Linked DNA regions of Saccharomyces cerevisiae S288C. The protein of the gene in region 3 interacts with the protein of the main gene of each other region in a biochemical or structural test. Each region holds a gene or a part of one and is shown on either strand. Other genes may lie near its edges.

The links.
Region 1: the proteins of CDC53 (region 3) and SKP1 form a complex in vitro, tested with the Saccharomyces cerevisiae proteins (4 studies listed by BioGRID).
Region 2: the proteins of CDC53 (region 3) and HRT1 form a complex in vitro, tested with the Saccharomyces cerevisiae proteins (5 studies listed by BioGRID, with this or other methods).

What each region holds. Positions count from the first base shown.
Region 1 is NC_001136.10:1,124,934-1,129,221, forward strand, and holds SKP1 (SCF ubiquitin ligase subunit SKP1), read right to left. Parts: upstream 1,086-4,288; coding exon 501-1,085; downstream 1-500. Other genes in the region: PEX3 (Pex3p), read right to left, coding at 1,337-2,662; DNA protein crosslink repair co-factor UBX5, read left to right, coding at 2,939-4,288.
Region 2 is NC_001147.6:67,288-71,190, reverse strand, and holds HRT1 (SCF ubiquitin ligase complex subunit HRT1), read right to left. Parts: upstream 867-3,903; coding exon 501-866; downstream 1-500. Other genes in the region: mediator complex subunit MED7, read left to right, coding at 1,147-1,815; PFK27 (6-phosphofructo-2-kinase), read left to right, coding at 2,437-3,630. UniProt on the Saccharomyces cerevisiae protein: Core component of multiple cullin-RING-based E3 ubiquitin-protein ligase complexes (CRLs), which mediate the ubiquitination of target proteins.
Region 3 is NC_001136.10:221,378-228,879, reverse strand, and holds CDC53 (cullin CDC53), read right to left. Parts: upstream 4,577-7,502; coding exon 2,129-4,576; downstream 1-2,128. Other genes in the region: homocitrate synthase LYS21, read right to left, coding at 165-1,487; SRF1 (phospholipase D regulator), read right to left, coding at 5,140-6,453; 60S ribosomal protein eL41 RPL41B, read left to right, coding at 7,079-7,156. UniProt on the Saccharomyces cerevisiae protein: Core component of multiple cullin-RING-based SCF (SKP1-CUL1-F-box) E3 ubiquitin-protein ligase complexes which mediate the ubiquitination and subsequent proteasomal degradation of target proteins.

The DNA.
Region 1 (4,288 bases), 900 kb from region 3:
GATATCTGTACAGCTGCTGCTTCTATATATTTATATGTGATTAGCAATCAATATACCCTATTTTAGATGAATAATTTAAAGCAAAGGGTTAAGCTGGTGTTGAAATGCTCGAAGAAAATAAACTTGACTTAAAATTTAGACCAAATATTTCACAAATATGATTCAAAACGGAGTGTTTACAGCTATCTGTCCTAAATTTATCCCGTCTCATCATGTAAACAATAGCTTTTATAACTCAATAATTTTCCTTTTTTCTTCTTGTCACTTTTGCGGCTTTTAGAAGACGCCTATCGCTACACACGACGATGGACCACACATCTTATTGTAGTTTGAAGTTTATGTAAACTGTATACATATATAATTCATACATGCTTGGTTATGGTGGACTAACGTACACATTGCATGACAGCAAGCCTTGTTTGCTTATTTTTGCCTATCTTGCTCTGAAATGGCGCATTATCATCGGAAGAAAGGATCACAGTCATCAGAGGAAATGTAGGCTAACGGTCTTCAGCCCATTCATTTTCACGCCTAATGGCAGCCTCCTCCTCTGGAGTGAAGTCGTTGACGATATTAAACGTTCTTCTAATTTCCTCGGGAGACCTTCCCCTGATCATTTCAGCAACCACCTTGCAGCCAGCGTCAAGCAAGGGCTTGATGTTGAGGTAGTTTGCCGCCAGAATAATTTCGTATAGCATCTCTTGGTCCACTTTCAGGAATTCTCTGTCCCATGAGTCCACGGGAGCACTCTTTCTGGAATCGTCGTCATCTTCGTCAGGGAAGTTAGAGTCTCTGTGGTGCTCGGCCCATTCGATAACCTTCTGCAAAACGGAAGACCGAACATTGGGCACGGGCATCACAATCTCGTCGTCATCCTCATCGTCGTCGTCACCGTTATTGTTGTCTTTGCTTTTGTGGTTCGTTTCCGAGTCTGAATCTGATTCTGAATCTGAGTTGTTTTGTAGGTTGCTGTCATGCATATCGTTCAGATAGTTTTTCAATAGCAGGGATCTCTCCGCGATTTTCTTGTCTACGGTGAATCGTTCACCCTCACCACTCACTAGGACAACATTAGAAGTCACCATATCTGCGCTACGTTTGTTAGTATTCCTGTATTGTTTATAACGTCTTTTCTGTTATATCTTTGCCAACGTTGGGCTATCACTTTCTCTGCCCTCAATATATCAACCTATTTCTTCCCTTTCTCTTCTTTTCTCCAAGACGCCCGTTAAATCGCTGCAGGGTAATGTCATGTTACCTATTGCACACTTACTGTATTAAAGATTACGCTATATATATATATATTCTGGTGTGAGTGTCAGTACTTATTCAGAGATTAAGGCTTGAAGGAAAACGAGCTGGAGACGCCAAAGTTGCTGTATACGCTGGCGCTCAGATCATCGAGCGGCTGCACAGAATCCAGAGTGGCCAGGTATTCGTTCACGCTGCCGCTATGGGAAGACCCGGCAGTTGTTTGAAGCATTTCTTGGCAACAGTCTTTCATCGACATAGCGAAAACTGCCATTTGATACTGTTGCTGATCTTCTTGGCCAGGTTTTTTCTTGGCTATTGTCTTTATGCCGACCTTGTTCATTATGAAATGGAATGATTCATTTATTAGAGACTCTAACACTATGGATGTTGCTGTGCTTTCGATACATTGGGTCAGTTCATTCACCAATTGATTAAAAACTAGTGTGTTAGAGTGAAAACTTGTTAAAGCATCCGCGTCAAGCGTCTGTGACAGAAGAAACTCCTGTCCACTGGAATCTTTAGGAAGCAAAATAGACGTGAGGTTATTATTATTTTGCTGGAATATTTGGGAATTCGTGTTCCGGAATATGTTCGTGAGACGAGAACTAAATTCTTCTAACGTTAGAGTATCTCTTGGGTGTATGCCGTCAAATTCAATTTCGATTTGATTTGTAATTATTTCATTGTAACTCAACCACCCCTTGTTAAGAATCCACCATGATAGTGATAGGAAAGCTTGCTCATTAATATACACTTCCTGGCCTTCTTTCTTTGACTTTTTTGCTGCCATTACCATTGCATCATCCGCTTTGTCCTCCGGATCGCTCCACCACGATGTAACCCAGTTATAGAACCTATTCTGTAGTTTGTTGCAGTTTTCCTGCTGCATGGTTAATTTTATTGCGGAGTCCAGGTACTCGTTTCTTGTCAGGATATTTAGTTGCAGTCTTGTTAAAAGAATCAGCGACGATACTGTGTACGTCACTGTCACCAGCTTGATCAAACTCTTTAGTTCTAACTCGTTCCACAACTCAGCTTTACTTTTTAACGGCGAACTTTCTCTGCTTTCACTAGACTTTGCTCTAGTCAACTGGTTCTTTTGGTCCTTTAATTGGGTAACGATGCTGTCCAAATTCAAATCGTTTTCATTCAAAACCATTCTCCATACAGGAAGTAGCTCGTATATTGTGTACAACGAGTCTTCCTGTGTCTGCTCGAACCTTCTTTTGATCTGTTCTTTGATGAAGTGTTGCTCAGTAATCCGTAACTGCTGTTTATACAACCATCTCTTCACGAAAAACACTACCACCGACCCTGTGGTAAATAAAGCAGCTATTCCAGTCAATGAAATGAGTACCTTTCCTCGATGTCTCTGCAGAAGCGAACGTGATCTTTGATTTGGGGCCATCCTTTTAGTGGTTTGCCTCCTTGTTTCGTGCTTCTGCTTTTACGATGACTAGTATTAACTACCTCAATAATATACCCCATGCTCATATAAGTCGAATAACGCCCTTATCATTACACACGATTACCAAAATGCAAGGAATTTTTAAGGAAAAAGGGAAATATTCATACATTCACGCAAACTCTACTACTTGTTAACGACATCTTAGCTATGATCGCTCAATAGTGTCACTACAAACGCATAGACTACGACGTGTGGCAATAATAACATACCTTTTATATGTCAGAGGGAAAAGTAGACGAATTTATGGCCATCACTGGCGCTGATGACGCTGCTATTGCCACTCAATTCATCGAAATGGCAGACGGGAACTTGAACACAGCCATATCATTGTTTTTCGAAAATGGTGGGGCTGCTTTACTGAGCAGTAACAACACACCTACTCCGTCTAATTCGACTCCTATGGCGCCCACCTCTGTAGATTCAGATGCCGATGCACAATTAGCGGAGAGGTTGCAAAGGGAAGCTTACCAACAACAACAGCCTGACCAAGATTATGTCAGGCCACCTGATGAGGCAAGACATGAAGTACTTACTGAAACTTCAGGATTCCCAATTTCTTACGGCGGCATTGGCGGAAGATTTGAACCATTGCATAGGGTGAACGACATGTTTGACGAAGGAAGACCTGAAAGCATTTTTAATCAACGATTGGATGACACAAATACTAATACATACATCAATGACAACTCTTCAGATTCCTTGGACTCCGAGGAAGAAAATGACGACGACGAATATGAGTATGTGGAAGAGCCGGTCATCGAACTTGATGAAGACGGCAATATCAAGGAGTACACCAAATTAGTGAGAAAGCCTAAAACCATTTCCAAGGAGCAGAAATTAGCTTTGTTATTTAGGCCTCCATTTTCAATCATGTCCAAACTCGACTTAGACGCTGCAAAGCAAAAGGCAAGGGCAAAGCAAAAATGGATAATGATTAACATTCAGGATTCAGGAATCTTCCAATGCCAAGCCCTCAACAGGGATTTGTGGTCGTCCAGACCGGTAAAAACTATAATCAAAGAGAACTTCGTTTTCCTACAGTATCAATATGAATCACGTAATGCCCAACCCTATCTTCAGTTCTATCACTTGAATAATAAGGATGATTTGCCCCATATCGCGATACTGGATCCAATTACCGGTGAACGTGTCAAGCAATGGAATAGGGTTGTTCCCATTCCAGAGCAATTCATCTCAGAAATCAACGAGTTTTTGGCCTCATTTTCGCTAGATCCAAAGGTCCCTAATCCCACGGTTAATGAACCTCTTCCTAAAGTGGATCCAACAACTTTGACCGAAGAGCAACAAATGGAATTAGCCATTAAAGAGTCATTAAATAATAACTCGAGCAAATCAAACCAAGAAGAAGTGCCGAGTACTGGCGAAGAACAGAAACGAGTACAAGAACCGGATCCATTCAGTACCATTGAAGCCAGGGTGCATCCAGAACCGCCAAATAAACCAGGGATCACTACAAGAATTCAAATTCGTACCGGTGATGGCTCCAGACTAGTTCGTAGATTCAATGCTCTGGAAGACACTGTGCGTACTATTTACGAGGTTATC
Region 2 (3,903 bases), on a different chromosome or scaffold from region 3:
CCGCTACCTCAGTCTCACCTTACAATACGGAAAAAAAAGACTATTGGCAATTTCTTTACCCAACATAATTACCACTAAATTATTATAAGTGAACTTTTGGCCTAGTGTTTGTGTATATATATTTGTCCTTTGGAAGGGCAGTGATCGTCTTTAAATGTTTTAAACAAAAGAAGTATGTAAAAGCAGCCTGATAATAAATGTGCTCTTAAAGAGTCAAAATACTACTAATTTTTTAGCGGCTATATAGAGGTAGATTATGAACAAGGCTAGGATGATTTTGTTCTGTCACCTTTGTGGATGTCTTATTCCTACCCCGAGTTACTAACGAGATAAACAAAAAGGGTGCATACAACTCGATTATGCTATGTATATAACAAAATTCGACGTGGAAGAGAAAAACATGTATCTACTGCGCCAGTTGACATACTCTAAAAAAAAAGGAACATGCCATAATCCTTCTACCTCGGTATGATTTAAATGTTTACGGGCAATTCATTTTTTCACCTACCGCATCTTGCTAACTGCCAAGGTTGGTTATCTAATGGGCATGCGTCTCTTGTCTTGATCCATTTATTAATACAGTGCAAATGGAAAGCGTGATTACAGACACCCCAGGCTGCTACACATTCATTATCAGTGTCCGTCATGGCCTTTGGCTGGCATTCAATGCATGGTTCCATTATATGGTTCCTGCAAATAGCACAGTTGTCAACAGCTATATCCCATGACCAAAACGCCACTGCGGTCCATTTCTTAATTTCAAATCTCTTCTTTTTGGTTTCCACTGGCGCACTTTGGTTTGAGCTTTGCGCAATATTTTGCGATTCATCTTCATCAACATCCATCCTGTCAACTTCGTTGCTCATGTTGAACTATTTCTCTTTAAAGTTCTCTGCCACTGGAGAAAGACATTTAGTAGCAACCAACATTGCACATATTGAAGCCCATACGTCTATTGTGGGTTTCATGATCTCCCTCTTCACACCTTTAAAAGAAACTATTATCACGAAATACGAAATGTTAGTTAGAACTTAAACAACGAATCTTGCATTTTCAGCAGGCAGGTCATTAGACGTGCAAATATGACATAAAAGAGGTTTCATATCCCAAATTTAAGCTAGTAAAAAAAAAATTCACAAACTAAAAATGTCCAATGATCCTGGTAATGAGGTTAGCTCCTTGTACCCACCTCCACCCCCATACGTGAAGTTTTTCACACAGTCCAATCTGGAAAAATTACCAAAATACAAAGAAAAGAAGGCCGCAAGTGCGAAGCAGACGGCTCCAAATAACAGTAACGGCGGCAGTGAAGAGGAGATTACATGTGCGCTAGATTACCTAATCCCACCCCCCATGCCCAAAAATCAGCAGTACCGAGCGTTTGGGAGTATATGGCAGGTGAAGGACCAACTGCCCGATTTAGAGAGCATGGGACTCACCCAACTTTATAAGAAATCCACAGAAAACGAAAGCACAAATTATCAATACAAAATCCAAGAGCTACGCAAACTATTGAAATCCCTCCTGCTAAATTACTTGGAACTCATCGGCGTATTGAGCATAAATCCGGATATGTATGAGCGCAAAGTGGAGAACATAAGGACCATTCTTGTCAATATTCACCACCTACTTAATGAGTACAGACCCCATCAGTCCCGAGAGTCCCTTATTATGCTATTGGAAGAACAATTAGAATACAAGCGCGGGGAAATTCGCGAGATCGAGCAAGTATGCAAACAGGTACACGACAAACTCACCAGCATACAGGACACCTTAAGAACCGGATCACAATCTCCTCCATCGTCGTCCCAATGACCACACTATTATAAATCATTTGTGTAACTATATACATTTTCAACTACCGTATAGCGTATAGTAGGCACGTGGTAGTCCACCCGTACACCTCCCTCGGAACGGAAAAATACGAACTATAGCTTATCGGAATATATACCAAAAATTAATTGACGTATTTCCGAGATTCCAGGCACAAGTGCCCCACCTTTTCACAGAAATCGCGCACAGATGAGTCTGCAACGGAAATTGTTTTCCTTTTTTTTCTTTTTCTTCTCTGGGCATCTGAATCGATTGATAATGAAAAAAAAGTAGAAAAAGTAAATTGGATTACTCGGTTTTTCGTGTGGAAGATTGGCTTATATAAAAGAAGACGTGCTCTAAACAAAGGTGTTTTCGCTTATTTTGGTGCCACAGCAAACCAACTTATTTGCTTTTTTAGAGGGTGTTAAAAAGTCTGATACGCTCATATACGAGTAACACTAAACCGGAAATACTAGGAGAGCCCAGTACTTATACTTCTTATTTGGCTTCAAGTTCCACTGCCCTCGAAACAAATTACCTTACGCGATTTTTAATATTTTAGATATAAGGAAAAGGAAGAAAAGGGATAACGAACGCGTTTTTTCCGCTGGAAGTTTGAAAATGGGTGGTTCTTCCGATTCAGACTCTCACGATGGATATTTGACTTCCGAATATAATTCCTCGAATTCTCTTTTTTCACTTAACACCGGTAACAGCTATTCAAGCGCATCTCTCGACAGAGCCACTTTAGATTGTCAAGATTCTGTTTTTTTCGATAATCACAAAAGTTCACTGCTGTCTACAGAGGTCCCAAGGTTTATTTCTAACGACCCGTTACACTTACCCATTACACTGAATTACAAAAGAGACAATGCAGACCCTACGTATACAAATGGAAAAGTTAACAAGTTTATGATTGTTTTGATTGGGCTACCAGCTACTGGGAAGTCTACCATTTCTTCTCATTTAATTCAATGTTTGAAGAACAATCCGCTAACTAATTCATTACGCTGTAAAGTTTTTAATGCTGGTAAGATAAGAAGGCAAATCAGTTGTGCTACCATTTCAAAGCCTTTGCTTTTGTCGAATACATCTTCGGAAGACTTATTTAATCCGAAAAATAACGATAAAAAGGAAACGTATGCCAGGATCACTTTGCAAAAGTTGTTTCACGAAATCAACAACGATGAATGTGACGTGGGAATCTTCGACGCCACAAATTCGACCATCGAAAGAAGAAGATTTATATTTGAGGAGGTTTGTTCGTTCAATACAGATGAGCTTTCTAGTTTCAATTTGGTGCCCATAATCTTACAGGTGTCATGTTTTAACAGAAGCTTTATCAAATACAATATCCACAATAAATCGTTTAATGAAGACTACTTAGACAAACCTTATGAACTTGCCATCAAAGATTTTGCAAAGAGATTAAAACATTACTATTCGCAGTTTACACCTTTCTCCCTTGATGAGTTCAATCAAATCCATCGATATATCAGCCAACATGAAGAAATCGATACGAGCTTATTTTTCTTCAATGTTATTAATGCGGGCGTCGTTGAGCCACATTCTTTAAATCAAAGTCATTACCCTTCAACCTGCGGCAAGCAAATTAGGGACACCATTATGGTTATTGAAAATTTCATCAATCACTATTCTCAGATGTTTGGTTTTGAATACATCGAAGCTGTTAAATTGTTTTTTGAAAGTTTTGGAAATAGCTCAGAGGAAACTTTAACTACACTAGACTCTGTTGTTAATGATAAATTTTTTGATGATTTGCAGAGCCTAATTGAAAGCAACGGATTTGCTTGACTGATACTTTACCATACGGGAGTTGAATATCGGTACTCCTTTATTATATTTATGATCCTCTCCAGAACTCCATCTACCTCCCGCCTTTTAATGACCATTTTTACGACCTTTTCGCATGTTTTTCTATTCTTTTACAGTTTCCTTGGTACCGCTAGTTACATTATGTTATCTTGAAAAGGCTACTATACACTTTTTTTGCACTACTGAAGCAGCTTTCAAAAGCTCTTTATAGACTTCAGATAGTATTACTTTTTCCTTAAAATTCTATCTATT
Region 3 (7,502 bases):
AGCTAGATGCAACCGCCTCAATTGAACATCGGAGTAGGAGAAAAAGCTTATTGAATAAAGTTGACGTAAATAGTAATTTTATTACGGTAATCGCCAGTACTTAAACACCTAATAACGCCCAGTATGTGTATGTTTGAAATATGTGTACTATATATATAATGAAACTATTTGGTGACCTTTGCCTTTTTAGAAACATGCCCATTGGAAATATCGATATTGTCGTCATCTGTACCCTTATTTACTGGTTTTAAAAGTGGGGTGCTCAATTCTGCATGGAAGTCCTTGATAATGGAGTCTACATCATCAATATTTAGCGGTCTGACATCACCCAGCTTCTTAATCTTAGCAGTAACTTCCTTGATTTGATCATCCGTCAAATTCAAGTTCAATTGGTCGACTCTTGATTTGATTGCATTCCAACCAGTTAGTCTGTTGGCGAAGTGGATATATCTCTTCATACCGAAATCGTGAGGGTCCAAGATTTCGTAGGTAGATGGGTTAGCCAAAATGGCCTTGGCATGGATACCTGCTTTATGTGTGAATGCACAGAACCCGGTGATAGGGTTGTTGAATGGAATGTTAACTTCCACAGCATCAGCGACCAGGTTTTCGATGTCTCTGATCTTGTGCAGCTTGTATTTAGATCTGACATAGTCTGGTGCGGCAACAATCATTCTTGCCATGAGCCCACCTAGAGGAGTGATACCGTTTCTTTCACCAATACCCAGTACACTGACGTCAATCAATCTGGCACCACCTTCCAAAGCAGTGTAGGCGTTTGCAATGGCACAACCGGTATCATTGTGGAAATGGCATTCGATGTCACATGAGACAACACTCTTCAAAGTTCTGATCAGTTCATATACTTGTCTTGGGTTGGCACATCCAACTGTGTCGGCAATACCGACTCTATTTACACCGATCTTGTCAACGGTTTTATAAATGTTCAAAAGATCAACGAGATCACTTCTGAAGGAATCTTCAGAGGAAAATCTGATTTCAATACCTTTGGATTTGACAAATTCAATGACTTCAACAGCACTCTTGGCGATGTAGTTCATATCCTTACCGTGGGAATATTGTCTTAAAAATTTGGAGGTGCCGATAACAACATCGACACCGTCGACACCAGTCTCTACGGCGACTCTGGCATCGTCCATGTGACAACGAATGTGTGTAAGGATCTTGGCCTTTAAACCTAGTTTACATATAGCTTCACAGTCCTTTCTTGATTGTTCGGATGCTACGGGAGAGGTTAACTCGATGTAGTCCACACCGAAATCATCCAAGGCTCTAGCAATTTCAATCTTTTTTTCAGTATCGAAGAATGCGTTGGCAAATTGTTCACCCTCTCTTAGTGTTGAATCAATCAACTGGAAATTCTTAACATTGGATAGATAATCCGCAGGATTTGGGCCATATGGGTTACTAGTGGTTGGAGCAGTCGTCGATTCGGTGACACTCTGGAATTCGTTATTTTCAGACATGGTTTGTTAAAGTATACAATTACTTGGGTTGTCGTTGCACTTTTAAATGTGTAGCAAATAAAGGCCTAAACGCAACAAGAAGAAAGATAAATTTTGAAATCTGTTGCATATATATATTAGTATATAAGAGACTGCATGAAAATGCGAACAAACGCATGCTCAACACCACTCATGCGCAATATCGTAGAATCACACACAACGAGAACGATCAGCTTGGCATCTTTGCAAAGTGACTAATTTTCGCTGTTCCACCACTATCGCACATTGCGCGACGTGATTTCTACGCGGATTTCTTGGAGCTGGTAGCTGCTGGTGACGATTTCCAGCGGAATTTCAACTCTGCCACTGACTGATCCTTGTTGTCAGTCTCATCATTTCAGCCTGATCTCTTCTCAAGCAGGCCGAAAAGCCGCCCGGTAAAGGATGTTACAACGGAAAGAGAAGTGCCATATCTTCATACTATGAGATTCTCAAGAGGTCAAAGACTCTTCATAGTTCAGTTGAATACACACAATTACACACACACACATATATATATATACATATATATATATATATATATATATATATATATATGTATACGCTTATGTATTTACTCGTAGGATTTGCTTCGTTCGATCAGCACAAGCCTTCAAAGATGATTAAGCAAGGTAAGCATACGATTCACCATCGTCTCCCCTCTGTAGGTATCCCTTTTGTATTAAGCTATCGATGGCTCTCTTGACCATAGAAACCTTTGCATTGAACCTTTGGTGTGATTGCGCAATGCATTCGTTGACCAATGTTGTATGTGGCAGATTTCTTTTCGCTTTCATTATTCTCACAATACAAGCTTCCAAGAAAATCTGCCTTTCTGTATTCAATTCTTTTTCTATTCTTTCGTCTTCCGTCAAGCGTTTGTTTCCTAACTTATTACCGTGATTATCGTGGCCTCCACCGGATAGCGATTGCAGAATGTCGTTTTTGACTCCGCTAGCGAAATTAATATTGGTCTTAAGCGCCTTATAAGGACGTGATAGCTTGAATTGTGTTTCAGGTTTCACGAGAGCATCTAGCCCTGGTGGGACCTGTTGAATCAGTTTGAATTTGATGAATGGTACCATTGCCGCTGCGATGTGCTGAATGGTTAAGCTCGTGCCCTCTTGAATATTTTCTAAGGTTAATACATCAGCATCGTTATATAGTAGCAAAATTGCCATTTGAAACAGTGTTACCGTAAAGTTGAACGGCATCCTGCCGGGTTTTCCAATATCTGCCTTCAATTCGCCACGACATAATGGCCATAGCCACTTCAATATTCTACCATTATGCTTTTGGCTGTATGACTCCTTCAATTTTTCGTGAGATGGTACCAATTCCTTGGGTAGCTTAAATTCAACTTCTTGGTATGAAAATGGCCACATATTTTCTGCCAATACAAATGGTTGTAGATCTGGATATTTTGCTTTAGAGTAATCTGGTTCATTCTTCAGGGCGACAGCAAAATCGTCTTCCAAGATCTTGGAAAGTCTAATATCTTGAAACATTTTAGTTATCTTGCCTGTATATTCCATACTATTTGCCGCTTGCAGCCTTTGAATAATATTTTCTTCGTCTTCTGCTGATGTTGAAGTGCCATGAATTAAACGCTTGGCGAAAAGTCTTCTATAATGAGTTTCGAACGCATCTTTGTCGGTCAAATATTTGAATATTGTTATAATATCTTCATCTGACATGTCACTTGCCACTTCAGGTTTGGTGGCCTTCTTTAATAGTATATCACTGTACTTAGCTAGCATCTCGGAAGTCTTCGAGGTGGCACTTTTTGGAGATCCAGCAGGTAATGCGAACTCGTTGATGTTGATGAAAGCACCACACGCATTATCTAGAGCTTTAGCTAAAGGTATGTCGTCGGGGAAACTTTCATTAAAAATCTTAGAGAATATATCGTGTACTTCCAGTAATTTCTTGATATAGTCTTTAGGAGAAAGGGAGTGAGCTGTCATTAGTGCTAGTTTTTTAGGGTTTGCGTTTTCGTTTTTCATAATATTGTGTTTATGCATTGCCAGTAGACTCGAAATTTCATTCTCACCTGTCTTTTTAACATAATTTTCAAACACTGAAGCCATTCTTGGGATTAATGTAAAGTCTCTGCGTATTAGTGCGTACAAAGAAGTAATTTTTTCAATATCTCTGGCATCCAGAAGGACAACAAACTCATTTTCCAACTTTTCAATATGGTCTGTGATCAAGACCTTGTTTAATGCCATGGATAGTGGTTTTTTTGTATGATCATCCCAATATATTGTCATTGCTTTTTCCTCACGTTTGATGATTTCATGTGCTTCAAAAATATACTCAGTTACCGAGTGTTTCTCTAAATAATCGTTTGTATATTGCGTGTAGTACTCCTGAGTCTTCTTTAAAAATGGCTTTTCGAAAACTTGGATGTAGACATTTAGGTTCAACTTTTTCAAATCCTGTGGATCGATACCTAGTGCAACTAAAGACTTTATGGCAGTGCTAATATTACTTCTTTGAATTATTTGCCCCTCCCTTCCCAAGGTTACCTGGTCTAATAATTCGTTTATTAAAACATCTTTACTCGGATCAAACATGACTTCTTTCCATGTCATCAAGCACAAGGTGTTTACATCAAAAATATGCCTTTTGCCGTCACTTCTTTCCTTTTGAACCCAATATCTATTCATATAATCGAATGCATGGTTTAAAAAAATGGCACCTATTGTAAACCTTTTCCAGCGCTTGACGTAAAACTGCAAAAAGGTCTCTGAATTAGACTGCTTAAAATTTAAAATGTAATTCTTCAAATAATTCTTTAACTTTTCGTAAATCTCACTGCCAACCAAAATTGTTGATTGGCCAGTTCTACTGTCAGTACTAAAATGTCCAGACGAGCGTGATTTGTTCACACAGTAGTTATAAATTGCGGTATAGACTTCCATATACATGGTTGGAGAAAGAATTTTGTAAACTCGCTTAGACGTGGATGCTTGGTTTTTCTCATTACCCAGTATTTGGTTAATTCCTGGCTCTATAAAGTTCCAAGTGGCCTCTAAATCATCAGATCTAGGCAGAGTCTCAGACATGCTTTGCTGCTTGCGATTTTGTTGTTATTCTTTGTTTAGGTATATGTAAGAATCCTTTCAAGACTCAAAAATGTACGCTTATTTATCGGTAAGTAGAAGCAATGTCGAATTGCTAAAAGAAATGTGTAACTGAGGTAAAATGTAATCAACAATGAAAGGGGTGCACAGAAGTTAGAAGATGCGGATGAAAAGCTCTAAAAGAGAAAAAGGACAATATAAAAGAGCAGTGATATGAATCAATTGCGTTGTAAAGTGAAGTTCTGCTGGGGTACTTTACCTAATGCCCTAGTTTTTCTAGATGTTCTATTTGCCACATTTCACTTCATGTGTGTCCATCAAACATCGAAATGAAAAAGGGCCCTTAAAACGGAAAGGAAAAGAAAGTGCAATAGCCCTCCCTTCGGGTAATACATATTATATCGCACAAAGCCTAATATAATCAAACCCGCCGTTAATGAATAAATGCCAAGCCGGAGTAATTTTTTAAGTCAAAAATATACAATGCATATAAATGTCAATCTTGGTATCTAAAAGAATTCTTTTAATTTCTATATTTGTCGAGCTCAGTTTCTGTTGGTAATTGAACTGACTTTTTCGACTACTCTAACAATACTGATCGAGAAAGTGATTACCCACATAAACAAGGCAACGAACAGAAAAGCGGATAAAGCTTCCTGTTTTCTGCAGATACGCGGTATTTTTGGGTATCCATACGTGCTTCCATTTGACCTGCGAATAGAAGTGCAAACCCACTCTTTGTCGAAACGAGTATTAAATGCCAGCGCTAGATTAGCGCTTGAAAAAATTATAAAAAGTAAGTCCAACAAAATTAGTTTCAGTTTGCTTAACGGATTCCTCAAACCAACAGGTTTACCAGCAAATTCATCGTGTGCAATGTAAATAATATACGCAATCGCCACGGCGTTGACGCAGATGGCCATTATGGTGCTTGGTTGTTGCCCGATTTTACTTTCACTGATGGTGTTATTTGATCTTGAGTTTTGAAAAATCTTGATTGCCAGAGCAAGTGAAATGCACGATAATATACCAGTGAAAATCCTCAAACCCAAAATCAAATATTGATTATCAAGTAATAGCGACGTCAAAGGAGGTCTCCACTGTTGTAACTTCCTTTGCTTTAACCTCCGCCACTTTTCTCTCTCTTTATTGAGCTCATTTACCCAATCTGACTTGTAAACTTTGTTGTGTACTGATTCGGGTGATTCTGGGTTCTTCTTATTATCACCGTAATAGAAATCTTTTACCTTTTCGATATATTGTAACCACTCTTTTCTCTCTTCTGTCGTGTTGAACTCTAAATTGGCACCTATTTCTGAATGTAGAACACCTTCTAGTCGTTCTTCACCTCCCCACTCGCTGCACATGTCACCTAAAATTTCTCTAAGAGCCGCATTTTTTGATGAGGTAGATGATGATAGAGAGTAACCATCGTAGGATTTGTGACTAGGATTGTAGTTTTGGTCTCTAGTGTATGCAGAATGACAGCCGATGGTAGATGCAAACTGGCCCCATTTAAACTCTTTTGGAAGATTTTTATCATCGGTAACATTTCCATCAACGGTGCCCTTATCCTGAAGTCTTAATTTATCAAACTGCGCCTCTAAAACATAAGGCGGCACTGTGGTAGGCACAAACGTGTAAGTATTTAATTTTGGATAGTCTAGTGGTGAACCATCACTGTGTTTGGGAACATGTATCTTTGCATTCTGTAATGCTTCCAGTGAACCTGACTTCCTTACTGTTTGATTTTTTTCAAGATCCACGTTTAAATTAAGTTGATTTTGATCTGCGATTCTAGAAGCGTTCGTGGATGTTGTATCAGAATACGCTTCTTGGCTGGAATTAGAATCCCCCATTAAATTTGTCAGTGTAAAAAAAAAGAACGCCTCAAAAAATGCAAAAAAATATCATTCACTTTCCCTTCTCAGCAATCTCACGGTTTCGAAATAGCAATCAAAGTATTTTTATAATTGACTAAACAAAAGGTGGTTGGAGACTTTGTGTTGTAGCTTAGAATTTCTTCCACTATATGAAAGCCAAGACCTCTTCTCCTCTTTCGACACTTCGTTTATTTCCACTTTCCCTTATTTAGTATTCATCGTTCAGAATGCTTTCTTTATTTCACGACGGTTACCACACCCGTACACCCTTATCTCATTTCACCAGTACCTTTCCTTATTAGATTCATCTTATTTTATTTTAGGATTTTTAGGTCATTGTACGACGCGTGTCGCACCATGGAAAAGGTGTCGCAGCTGCGATGCTATCCATTTACCCGTCATCATTGCTGGCAGAAATCCCATCTTCCTCTGCTGGGGTGATTTATATATATGGAGAGTTAACGAATGTAATATTTCTGAATGTTAAATAATTGTTATCCGTCATTATTGTTTCACTTCTCTCTTTGAAATTTCGCTTGTTTTCTGTTTTCATCTTATATTTTACTTCAATCCTAAGATAGTCATATCGACTTAATTCCAAATGAGAGCTAAGTGGAGAAAGAAGAGAACTAGAAGACTTAAGAGAAAGAGACGGAAGGTGAGAGCCAGATCCAAATAAGCGGATTGAGAGCAAATCGTTAAGTTCAGGTCAAGTAAAAATTGATTTCGAAAACTAATTTCTCTTATACAATCCTTTGATTGGACCGTCATCCTTTCGAATATAAGATTTTGTTAAGAATATTTTAGACAGAGATCTACTTTATATTTAATATCTAGATATTACATAATTTCCTCTCTAATAAAATATCATTAATAAAATAAAAATGAAGCGATTTGATTTTGTGTTGTCAACTTAGTTTGCCGCTATGCCTCTTGGGTAATGCTATTATTGAATCGAAGGGCTTTATTATATTACCCTTTAGCTTATTCTGAGGTTTCTGTGGCGTGCAAAGTGATGAACCGGG